Arabidopsis thaliana: one gene and its partners. The protein of the gene in region 1 interacts with the protein of each later gene in a pairwise test. Each region holds a gene or a part of one and is shown in the gene's direction. Other genes may lie near its edges. The genes, in order: NGA4, GPRI1 and INO.

What was found.
Region 2: the proteins of NGA4 (region 1) and GPRI1 interact in binary tests that used the Arabidopsis thaliana proteins (3 or more experiments, as listed by UniProt).
Region 3: the proteins of NGA4 (region 1) and INO interact in binary tests that used the Arabidopsis thaliana proteins (3 or more experiments, as listed by UniProt).

What each region holds. Positions count from the first base shown.
Region 1 is NC_003075.7:637,731-641,491, forward strand, and holds NGA4 (AP2/B3-like transcriptional factor family protein), read left to right. Parts: upstream 1-1,516; 5' UTR 1,517-1,668; intron 1,669-1,871; 5' UTR 1,872-2,060; coding exon 2,061-3,062; 3' UTR 3,063-3,246; downstream 3,247-3,761. UniProt on the Arabidopsis thaliana protein: Regulates lateral organ growth. Functionally redundant with NGA1, NGA2 and NGA3.
Region 2 is NC_003071.7:8,853,720-8,858,260, forward strand, and holds GPRI1 (GBF's pro-rich region-interacting factor 1), read left to right. Parts: upstream 1-1,638; 5' UTR 1,639-1,766; coding exon 1,767-2,231; intron 2,232-2,298; coding exon 2,299-2,346; intron 2,347-2,577; coding exon 2,578-2,718; intron 2,719-2,796; coding exon 2,797-3,141; intron 3,142-3,283; coding exon 3,284-3,325; intron 3,326-3,423; coding exon 3,424-3,537; intron 3,538-3,647; coding exon 3,648-3,803; 3' UTR 3,804-4,037; downstream 4,038-4,541. UniProt on the Arabidopsis thaliana protein: Transcriptional activator that functions with GLK2 to promote chloroplast development. Acts as an activator of nuclear photosynthetic genes involved in chlorophyll biosynthesis, light harvesting, and electron transport.
Region 3 is NC_003070.9:8,315,581-8,320,002, forward strand, and holds INO (Plant-specific transcription factor YABBY family protein), read left to right. Parts: upstream 1-1,716; 5' UTR 1,717-1,749; coding exon 1,750-1,944; intron 1,945-2,041; coding exon 2,042-2,179; intron 2,180-2,280; coding exon 2,281-2,431; intron 2,432-2,524; coding exon 2,525-2,573; intron 2,574-2,692; coding exon 2,693-2,768; intron 2,769-2,904; coding exon 2,905-3,003; intron 3,004-3,443; coding exon 3,444-3,524; 3' UTR 3,525-3,911; downstream 3,912-4,422. UniProt on the Arabidopsis thaliana protein: Essential for the formation and the abaxial-adaxial asymmetric growth of the ovule outer integument.

The sequences.
Region 1 (3,761 bases):
AAAAATATTTACTAGTAAGTAATTGAAAAAATCTTGAATAATTAAGATTTATAATTTAAAATTATCACAGTTATAAAAATTTACAAAATACCTTTATTTTGTTTTAAGAAACATTGTAGAAATGTTTCGAACCTTTTCTCCCATTGATTTAACAATTTCAGGTGAAAACGTTTAAGAGTTTTATTTTGGTATTAAGAAAGCATTGTGAAAATGTTTAAGAATTAAATCAATGGTAAATACCAAAGTAAATAAATTCTTATAAATAAAAATCCAAAAGACCAAAGTAAAATTCTTAAACTTTCAGAAATGGTCTTATAAGAAATTACTAATTGGTCTTATAAGAAATTCTTAAACCTTCTTATAAGACCATTTCTAAAAAGTTTAAATGAATTTTTATTTTTTTCAGCATTCTTAGGAAAAACCTAAAAAAACTAAGATATTCATTAGAATTTACAGTGTCTCATTATAATTTTACATAAAATGAATATGTTTTAGTGTTTATATTTTTAAAATAGAGAAAAAATATTTTAAATTTTAAATTTATTAAAAGTAATATTTCCATAACTTTCAGATTAATATTATATTATAGATTAATTTAATAATTTTCTTTACTAATAATATAGCTGGTCTAATGTCTATCTAGAAACCTAATATTATTTTTTTTTAATGATTTTCTTACATGTATAGATTAAAAAGTTATTTATTTGGTCTAGTGTCAATCTTGTAATCTATTTTTTTAATTTGTTCATGGTCTTTTTACATTTTTTATATACATATATAGATACTAAAATTAGCTAGTTCCACTTGTAAGCATATGTGTGGAGCCGTATCTAGTTATAGTTAATTTAAATCTTCATATTGTACTTTTGTGTGGTTTCCTATCTTTGGTATACACAGATTAGTTATAATATATGATGATTTAATATAATTAGCTAAAAATAACTAGATAGAAGAAACTGACAAACATTTTTTCATGGTCTAATATAATTTAATATAACTTCCTATCATGTAACCTATTTTCTTAATTTGGTCATGTCTTTTTACATTTTTTGATACAGAAATAACACGTGTAAGCATATGTGTGGAGCCATATCTAGTTATAGTTAATATAAATCTTCATGTTGTACTTTTGTGTGGTTTTCTATCTTCGGTATACACAAATTAGTTATAATATATGATGATTTAATATAATTAGCTAAAAATAAGTAAAGAACTAATTAGAAGAAACTAACAAACAGAAAATAATAAATACAAAAGATCTGGTATGAATAAAGATGAAAATAAAAATACAGATATCAAAATAAAAGGAAATAGTCTCACAAAAGATTGACACAATACATGTATGTATATATTTGTATATCTATATAAATAGCTAGAGTTACCCCAAGTCTATAGCTAATTGAAAAGGACAAGAAGCTCTCACATGACCCGAACCACACCATTCATGGGCCCCTTTACTCTTCTCTAATATTTGATCTTCATCTCCATCATCGAGGAAATCTCTCTCAAGCCACTATATTTCTTCACCCCTTAAAGTCATCTAGAGAGAAAGATAGAGAGAGAACCTTTTTTTTTTTTAACTCCAAACCATTGATTTCATTTTCATTTATTTCTCTTTTGGAGTCAACGAAAAGATCAGAAGAAGAAGCAAACACAAAGAGTGAAAGAGTACGTCTGTCTTCTTCTTCTGGATTTAGGGTTTTCTTTTTCACTTTTTGTTTTTTTGGTTATAGCTTTTTTTCTTCTTCTTGTTCTTCACTTCATCTTCCATTTACTTTTAATTATTTGATTGAAGTATTACTTTTTTTCCTTAGTATTGGGGTGATGATTTTTATTTGATTTCTAATAAAATTATTTCATGTATGTTGAAGGATTTTGTATTGGATCTTGTCAAGAATCACTCATTCAGATCCATAAAAATAAAGTTGAATACTTTTTGAAAGATCTTGAATTGGTCCATCTTCTTTTCAAGAACCTATAAGTTGGATACTTTTGAAAGATCTTGAAATTGGGTCATCAATCTTCTCAAGACCCCATATATAAACAGCTTGATACTTTTGATGAATATCTCAACAATGAATCTTGACCAAGAACTCGCCGAGATCAGAGCTAGCAGTTCCGACCACACCAATTACTTCTACAGCTCGGAGAGGAGAGAGCACATGTTCGACAAAGTGTTGACACCAAGTGACGTCGGTAAACTAAACCGGCTCGTGATTCCAAAGCAACATGCAGAGAACTTCTTCCCTTTAGAGGACAATCAAAACGGCACAGTGTTGGATTTCCAAGACAAAAACGGCAAGATGTGGAGGTTTCGTTACTCGTATTGGAACAGTAGCCAAAGCTACGTGATGACCAAAGGATGGAGCCGTTTCGTCAAGGAGAAGAAACTCTTCGCCGGAGACACCGTCTCTTTCTACCGTGGCTACATCCCTGACGATAACGCACAACCGGAGAGACGACGGAAAATAATGTTCATCGATTGGAGGCCTAGAGCCGAGATAAACTTCGTACACAACATTAACAATCATAACTTCGTTTTCGGGTCTCCGACATATCCAACGGCTAGGTTTTATCCGGTGACGCCGGAATATTCCATGCCATACCGGAGTTTTCCACCGTTTTATCAGAACCAATTTCAAGAACGGGAATATTTAGGGTATGGTTATGGTAGAGTTGTTAATGGTAATGGAGTGCGTTACTACGCAGGATCACCGTTGGATCAACATCATCAGTGGAATCTTGGTCGATCTGAGCCGTTGGTTTATGACTCGGTTCCAGTTTTTCCAGCGGGGAGGGTACCTCCGTCGGCGCCTCCTCAGCCGTCGACGACGAAGAAGCTGAGGCTGTTTGGGGTTGACGTGGAAGAGTCTTCATCTTCAGGGGATACACGTGGCGAAATGGGAGTAGCAGGGTACTCTTCCTCGTCTCCGGTTGTGATCAGAGACGATGATCAATCATTTTGGAGGTCGCCACGTGGCGAAATGGCATCGTCTTCTTCGGCTATGCAGCTAAGTGATGATGAAGAATATAAGAGGAAAGGGAAATCTTTAGAGCTTTGAAGATAGAATAAAATAAGAACTAAGGAGTAATTTATTCACCATTTTCTTTTAAGAGTTAGTTCCAACTTTCAACTCATTAGATCATTTGGCAATTGGGGAATATGTAGTGGGAAATTAACCGGGCTTATATCTATATATTGGTTTAATTAAGAGTTTTTGTTTCAACATGTTGATCCTTGAGCCCTAATTACCATGTTGAATAGAAAACCCCCATCTTTCAATGTTAAATTAAGCTTATAAATAATATAAATAATCATTTAATTTTCATATAATCTTGAGTTTTTAACTATAGTTACTCATATTGTCAAATTAAATGCTTACAACGATCCATAAATCAAAAGTGTTCATCTCTGTATCCTAACTTTGTTTTGGTTCTAGTTTGAGATGTATACTCTTGGGAAGGAGAAAAAAGCTTATAAAATTTTATGAATTGTACTCTCTGTGCCTATCTGTAGCTAAGCTGACAAAGTTTCATGGTACATTCTAAGCTAATGGGCAGTTTCAAAAGTGTCGCTCTCTCTTTCCCTACCAATGGTCCAATTTTAGTTTGTTTGGTTACTATTGTCTTGGGTTGGTTTAAAGAGATTTGTAGGTTATGGACAGAGAACAAAAAAGAGAAGCTATGGAAGGACAATTTCAGTTTATAATGATAATTTTGAAAAAAGAAATATGAAAGGTATGATATGTTCTTTCATTTTT
Region 2 (4,541 bases), on another chromosome or scaffold:
ATAAGGGCCTGAAAGTATGTGGAATTTCTTACAATTTTCTTCCTTCACGATGTATATATATATATGCCGTACGAATATTGTGAACGTGAATTCGATTCAAAAAATGTGATGTGGAAACGAGCAACAACAATTATTGTAGCTCTTGAGGACCCATAGGACGTGCATGTCCACTTATACCTAATGAGACAATTCTGTCCTTTTTTATAAGAGCATCTTCCACAGCTTAATTTGCGAGCCTCATTCACGTCAATATATAAGGGGTATGTGATACGGTAGATGGATTGATTATTTACATCCATCTACATGTAAGTTGACCAGCATAGACCTTTTACATAGTGACATAGAACCGTTGAAATGCCATCCGATTGATCAATAATGTTGGGACAGACCAAAACCAAGATACCAAAACGGTAAAGGGACAAATGCGACAATCAGATATTGAACTTTAAAGTTGTGGCTCTGATCCAGTTTGGCAACAACTTCACTTAAATTTTTGTGTTACCAACAAAACAGGGAAAAAGATTCGCTAAAAGAGTTGCCTAAATATATGTTTGAGCTTGTTGTCGATATTTTATGTTTATCTAAACAGTAAAAAAAAAAAAATTTATGTTTTATTTACCACATTTAGAACTAGGCATATATATATATATATATCTTATTATATAAAGTATGGTTTTTAAAGTTGCTAACTCATAAGATTGTGTCACGTGTCAAGTCAAACGATCAGATGTTTACATGTATCATTCAAAATTTAACTTTTTTATTCTCTAAAATTAAATAGAAAATCTTAAAAAGTAAACAAATTTACATATACTAATTTATATGTCTATATATTTATAAACAATTAACATTTATTCAACAAAAGGAAAATTAACAAATTTGTCTTTAACTCATGTAATCATAAGTGAAAATAGAACATTTTGAGAAAAATAGCTTATCTTATAGGATTTAACTTTTCAATTATTTTCATTTATTAATTTTAACTCATTTAATATTAATTTGCATGATGTAAAATTAACTTACGAGATTACGGCATATATAGAAAATATATTTTCAACAATGTTTGGTTTCTAAATATTTTGTGGATTTCTTTTTTTTATTAATTATTAGCCCTAGGCGTTTGGGTATTCGGGTCGGGTATTTTGGGTTCGGGTTTTCGGGTTTAGAAGTTTAGGACCCGTTCGGGTAATTTAAGATTTCGGGTCGGGTTCGGTTTGGGTGGGTTTGAGTTTATTTATATATTGAAATATCAAATTTTGTGTGCAAATCTATTAAATTACTTGAAAATTTCAAAAATTCCCAAAACAACACGAGTAGTTTTGCTTGAATATATCTAAAAATACACAAAATAATTAAAATATCCAAAAAATCCTAATATTTTCTATATATAAGTATAAATATAACTAATATATATTTATATTTGAAATATGTTTGGATACGTATTCGGGTTCAGGTTCGAGTTTTTTGGGTTTTGAAGTTTAGATCTGTTCGAGTATTTGAAAATTTCGGGTACACCCGCCTCAATAGGCGGGCCTTATCTAGTATATATATATATATATATTTTTGTGATGGATTTCTTTCTGTCTCTCTCTATATATAGCATATAAATGAAAATGAATTATATTTGCCTTTAAGGGAGAAGAAAGAGACTTACTTTGGATATCAAAACATGTCTTGCTCTCTATTCTAATTAAGTCTAGCCTATCTACAACATACATAAACCTCTATCTACGATTATATTTGGATCTACAAGTGAAGATTGATCGATGTTAGCTCTGTCTCCGGCGACAAGAGATGGTTGCGACGGAGCGTCAGAGTTTCTTGATACGTCGTGTGGATTCACGATTATAAACCCGGAGGAGGAGGAGGAGTTTCCGGATTTCGCTGACCACGGTGATCTTCTTGACATCATTGACTTCGACGATATATTCGGTGTGGCCGGAGATGTGCTTCCTGACTTGGAGATCGACCCTGAGATCTTATCCGGGGATTTCTCCAATCACATGAACGCTTCTTCAACGATTACTACGACGTCGGATAAGACTGATAGTCAAGGGGAGACTACTAAGGGTAGTTCGGGGAAAGGTGAAGAAGTCGTAAGCAAAAGAGACGATGTTGCGGCGGAGACGGTGACTTATGACGGTGACAGTGACCGGAAAAGGAAGTATTCCTCTTCAGCTTCTTCCAAGAACAATCGGATCAGTAACAACGAAGGGAAGAGAAAGGTGAAGGTAATGATTTTAATCATATCATCTATATATAAAACATTAGTCTTATATGAATAAAAACCCTAGCTAGACTCGATTAAATGAACAGGTCTATAATGGATTCGTATTTTTTTTAAAAGTGGATTATTCGTTTAGAATTCATTTTCTTGCTAAATCTTCTAAATTTTTCATATTTCAGTCATGTTTACAAGACTCGTGTAAAGACATCACGTGCATCTCTATAAGACTTTTTTTCTTTCAAATTATGTAAAATAGTCAGCTGCTAATTGTGAATTTTATATAGTATGTGAAAAAGTATTGAAAAAATAATGAAGATGGTGGTTATATATATGTTGGGATGTGTGTGAAGGTGGATTGGACACCAGAGCTACACAGGAGATTCGTGGAGGCAGTGGAACAGTTAGGAGTGGACAAAGCTGTTCCTTCTCGAATTCTGGAGCTTATGGGAGTCCATTGTCTCACTCGTCACAACGTTGCTAGTCACCTCCAAGTTAGTATATTTCTTTTCAATTTCATTCTCTAATATTAACCATCCAAATTAACATGTTGCTGTTATTTGGTATACTAGAAATATAGGTCTCATCGGAAACATTTGCTAGCTCGTGAGGCCGAAGCGGCTAATTGGACACGCAAAAGGCATATCTATGGAGTAGACACCGGTGCTAATCTTAATGGTCGGACTAAAAATGGATGGCTTGCACCGGCACCCACTCTCGGGTTTCCACCACCACCACCCGTGGCTGTTGCACCGCCACCTGTCCACCACCATCATTTTAGGCCCCTGCATGTGTGGGGACATCCCACGGTTGATCAGTCCATTATGCCGCATGTGTGGCCCAAACACTTACCTCCGCCTTCTACCGCCATGCCTAATCCGCCGTTTTGGGTCTCCGATTCTCCCTATTGGCATCCAGTAAGTTCCCACATTTATGAAACCTTTACTTTAGCTCTTTATCATATTTGTTTTCATCATAGTATTTAACATTATGAAAGCTGAATGACACCGAGTATTTTTATCATATGCTTGTCTTTCTAACCAGCATTTTTGCATGTAGATGCATAACGGGACGACTCCGTATTTACCGACCGTAGCTACGGTAATGAACCAACATTTATAAGATTGTTTCCGTATGTATACCCCTTTTTGTTTCTATATATATGTTTTAAATCGTATTTTTGATTGGTAATTGTATAGAGATTTAGAGCACCGCCAGTTGCCGGAATCCCGCATGCTCTGCCGCCGCATCACACGATGTACAAACCAAATCTTGGATTTGGTGGTGCTCGTCCTCCGGTAGACTTACATCCGGTAAGAATCTAATATAATGAATTGATTGTTGTCGAGTTTTGACTTTTCGCATTTGATTATGTAATTATGTATTTTTGACTTTTTGTGTATATATATTATAAATGGAACAGTCAAAAGAGAGCGTGGATGCAGCCATAGGAGATGTATTGACGAGGCCATGGCTGCCACTTCCGTTGGGATTAAATCCGCCGGCTGTTGACGGTGTTATGACAGAGCTTCACCGTCACGGTGTCTCTGAGGTTCCTCCGACCGCGTCTTGTGCCTGAAACGCACAAGATCCGTAGGCAAGCGAGAACCAAACAAAAATTCGACGACATGTCTTTCAATTATTGTACTTTTATTTTTCCAAGGGTTGTTTTTGTTTTGACCCTTGTTGTGTTAAGAGTTACTCTTTACTTAATCGTCCCATGTGACTAATAAGGAGACCCTTTTCATATGTATCTAGGGTGCTAAGTACACTCTAGCTCTATTAACGCAAATAAATTACCTATATTTTCTCTAACCATTGGTGATTTAGAACTTGATTGCTTATATAAAGTTTTTTTATAAAACATAACACAACAAATTTCCATATCAAATGATCATATGGAAATTGGAAGCGTTCAAAGCAAAGTCGCAAACGACGACCAATTGATTATAAAGAGGACAACCTCACGAGTATATATACACTTATAATTTATAAACATAACTTATACTTAAAAATACCAGCCGGTTATATATGGTGAAAAATGAGTAATGAAATTGTGTGTTTACCATGCATATATTACCGTATAAAAACGTATTGTTGGGATTGAGAGAACAATGGCATAAAATAATAATGAGGAGAGAGGGAGAGGACCACGAGATAAGAGGAGAAGGAAGTGCATGGAGGCAACGTAAAATCCAACGTAACGACCTCTTCTTTCTCCAATTGTGACCACTCTCTCTCTCTCTCTCTCGTCTCCTTCAAATTTGAATGGTCCCTCTCTCTTCATAATTGATAATTCATATACATGCGGATACTA
Region 3 (4,422 bases), on another chromosome or scaffold:
GAAATGTTGAATTGTGGCTGTAGAATTAGGACGTTGTGTTGGAACAATTCTTTGCGACATTGTTTTAGTTTTAACCTGGATTAGTGCAAGGCAAAATTTAGCCATTATGTTGATTCTGATCATATTCTTACACCAATGTCTTGAAGTTTTGTTGTTGTTGGCTCTGATAACTTGTTTGCTAAGATAAGTTTAAATTCTCTCAGATATTGATTATGTGTTTGACATTAACGTGCGTTTGTCTTTGCACATTTTATCGTCATTTCACAGCTTCTATTTATGTTAACAGTGAGATTTGACCAATCTATAAGCTGTCATGTAAAAGTTTGAGACTAGAAATGAGATGTATATCAGTATATATGGAGTAAAAGACTGTTAAACCAGAAGCCATAACTATGATTACAATGTATAATTTTAACCTCTAATCTCTCAAATCACAAATGTGTACCTCCTACTCAATTACTCATCAATAGGCTTATGAAAATGGATCGAAACTTATTAATGGGTCGGTAAATTATGTGATCTCTCAAAATGGGTCGAAACTTGTTCACTCCGGGGTTGGGTCATTGCATTGGATTCCACCCACACAAAAATTACAAATGTGTAGGAAATTGAGTAAATATTAGTATTATGTTTAGTCTTTTTCTTGTGGTTGAACACAAAATAGGAGATGAGAGTAAGTGAGAGAGAGAGAAAGCAATAAAGAGAGGGACAGTAGAAATAACATGACACAGAGAGAAAGCACTGAAACTTGAAGAAATAGAGAGAGAGAGAGAGAGAAGAGTTTGGGTAAAATGGTCAAGAAACAGTTAGCAAAAATGTGAGAGAAGAAAGACAAAATCCTAAGATTCCGAGTTACTAAAAGTGATGAGTCTCCTAGAAACACCCGCACTAGTCTCAACTCACTGCACTTTCATTTTCAGTCTCACTTCAACCAAAACTCCAAAAGACTGTTGAGTTTTGTGAGAGATTCATTAAATCCCATTTAAAGAGACAACTACACATGAGACAAAGAGGCATTTCTTTCTCAACCTCACTTGTTTTTTTCTTTCTTTCTAACTTGCAAACCAAACCACACCACCACATCACATCATTTATTAACCCCAGCTCTCTTCGATGTCTATCTATCTCCTCTTGTGCAACGTGCCTTTCCATTTTCACATGTTCATTTTTAATACTCATACTCTTTACCATCGATTTTTATCTCTTGTTATTTTTTTGTTTAACCTAGTGTTATCTTACAATAACACATATTATCTTGTATGCTTATTTATCAGAAAAATCCTGAAATGGTTTTTGAAGGGAGCTTATATATTTTCTGTTTATAGGTTATTAAGTGTTTTAAATTGTTTTGACAACAAAAAATGTCTCCTCTAATGGTAAACGCTCAAACGTTATGTATCATTTGTCATATATATTTTGTGAGTGTGACATAACATAAAAATCTTATAACAATGCTTTTGTATAACGAAAATTCTTAATTAAACTCCATCATCAACAAAAGTATTATATACATCATTTTATTTTATTTTATTTTAGAGAAGAAAATGTAGTTTGAATATTAAGGAGTTAGGAATGTGATTAATAGAAAGAATGAGAATCATTTACTGCTTACAGCTCATAGAGACTATGAAGATTCCAATTATTACAAGTGAGATAGAGACGTACATAAGTTGAATTGTATTGTGCATTTTAGCATATAACCAAAGCATTCCACATGAAAGATATAAATATAATTACATATTTGCATTAATGAATATTAACAAAACCTATCTCTCTGTCTATATATACACACACACACACACACATATATCTCCTATCATTCATCGTACACACACACTCTCTATGACAAAGCTCCCCAACATGACGACAACACTCAACCATCTATTTGATCTGCCGGGGCAGATTTGCCATGTCCAGTGTGGTTTTTGCACCACTATTTTGCTGGTATACCTTAACTTCTTCTCTTATTCTCTCCCTTCCTTTCTCCCTTCCTCTCTTTATATATATGATCATGAGTTTAATGAGTGTAAATGTGTTGCAGGTGAGTGTACCGTTTACAAGCTTGTCAATGGTGGTGACTGTGAGATGTGGGCATTGCACAAGCCTTCTCTCTGTCAATTTGATGAAGGCTTCCTTCATTCCTCTCCATCTCCTTGCTTCTCTCTCCCATCTTGATGAGGTTTCCATAACATCTATACATAGACAAACACACACCATCTAAATATGACCAATATATATATATATATACTTACTTTTGATTATATGTAAATATATGTGCAGACCGGGAAAGAGGAGGTTGCAGCTACAGATGGTGTGGAAGAAGAAGCATGGAAGGTGAATCAGGAGAAGGAGAACAGTCCAACGACTTTGGTTTCATCTTCAGACAATGAAGATGAAGATGTGTCTCGTGTTTACCAAGTTGTCAATAAACGTACGTTTGAGTATAAATTCAACTTAAACTTTAGTTTTGCGATTTCTCCTTTCATCAGTCGTCTAATTATGTTTTGAGTTTGTATATATATAGCACCTGAGAAGCGACAAAGAGCTCCTTCAGCTTACAATTGCTTCATCAAGTAAGAAATAAATTCAACACATTACATGTGTATGTATATTATATATATTCTTACAAATTTAACCACTTAAGGTTTTGAGTTTGTAAAATGGTTCTTCTTTGGGGGTTGTATTGGAGCAGGGAAGAGATCAGGAGGTTAAAGGCTCAGAATCCAAGCATGGCTCACAAGGAAGCTTTCAGCTTAGCTGCCAAAAATGTACTTAAGCTTAATTAGTCTTAAGATTTAAAAGAAAACCCTAATATAGTTTTCATCTTTTTGTTAGCTTAATTGACAGATCGAGTTAGCTAATAACATTTTATGATTTCAATTTTTTGATTTGGGGATGGCGAAGTGGGCCCATTTTCCTCCAGCTCACAACAAGAGAGCTGCTTCAGATCAATGTTTTTGTGAGGAAGATAACAATGCGATACTACCATGCAATGTTTTTGAGGTAATCCTCAGCAACCATTTATATTTTTTAATCACTTTCGCTTCAAAATCAATTACCATATTCTTGACAAGTAAACTCCACAACAAGTGTCATTTTCCAAAGCAAACCAAATAATTAAAGCATTAACTAGATCCAAATAGCATCGCTCTCAGTCAAAATTTCAGAACCCTAGCTAGACTAATTATATAAAGAGAAATCATTTACTAATTATTAGAGTGAAAGCAAGGAGAAGGGTAAGTGAGATTGTGAGAATATATCATTGATCTTCAACTACTACAATGTGTGAAATTTATGACCTAAACCCTTTTATAGTATTGAAGCTTACACTGCACACAGTTTACTTTTATAGAAACCCATTCAACTAATTTAAAACATTGAAGCTGAATATGTATAGTTTTCAATTAATATACCAAATAATTGTTGAAATGTTTGTGATGCAGGACCATGAAGAAAGCAATAATGGGTTCCGAGAGAGAAAGGCTCAGAGGCATTCCATTTGGGGAAAATCTCCATTTGAGTAATAACAATTTGGGATATGAAAATTTAACAAAAAAATAAATAATGGCGTATGACATGTGATGGTGACTCTTTTCTTCTAGGGTTTGATTATGTTGGTTTAGGGTTTCTGTTGTTGGAGAGAGATAGAGAGAAGAAGAATCTGAAACGGAAGTAGGATTTGTGTGTGTTCGAGAAGAGTCCTTGGGAATGAGCGAGTTTGTTCAGTAATTTCGTAGTACTTGTCAACTTTGAACTTAATTTGAAGAGACATGCATTGACTCTATAAAAAAAATTCTACTTTTGCATTCATGACTACTCTTATTCCATGAATGTTTTAACATTCCATGAAACAGTACTTTAGTAAGAATCTTTGTTAACCTATCATAATAAAGATCCTTCTTGACTTCGCGCGCTCAATGCTTTTGTACGTACGATGGAGAAAAACACTTACTAAAAAAAAAACACTTTTTGTTTTGACATTTGACCTTTCTAAGTTACTTTTTTTTTTTGTCGTCTGAAAATTTATTATAGAGATTCCGGTGAAATACAAAAGTGAAATATAAAGCCGGCGGTTAACAAGTAACACCAGAAAACTAAGCCGACGATTAAAAGGATAGTCTTGGAAGCAAAACCCAAAGGAAAGGGAGACAACAAGGCAAAACAAACCTTACAAACAAAGCAAAGTTGCGAAACTGAAACAAAGAAGCAGACCAAAACAACCAAAATTTTAAACACAACATCTCGTCAACCACATTACCAGACAAAGGAAAGGCAGAGCTTTACAACAAGCCACTCCGTAGGAGACAAGGAACTCCCAACCAAACGGACAGCGGTGCCACCTATTACGATGAAGACTACCTTACATAGAAGAGTTCCAAGGAATCCATACCGGCGAGAAGAACTAGGCCAAAGACGACAAGT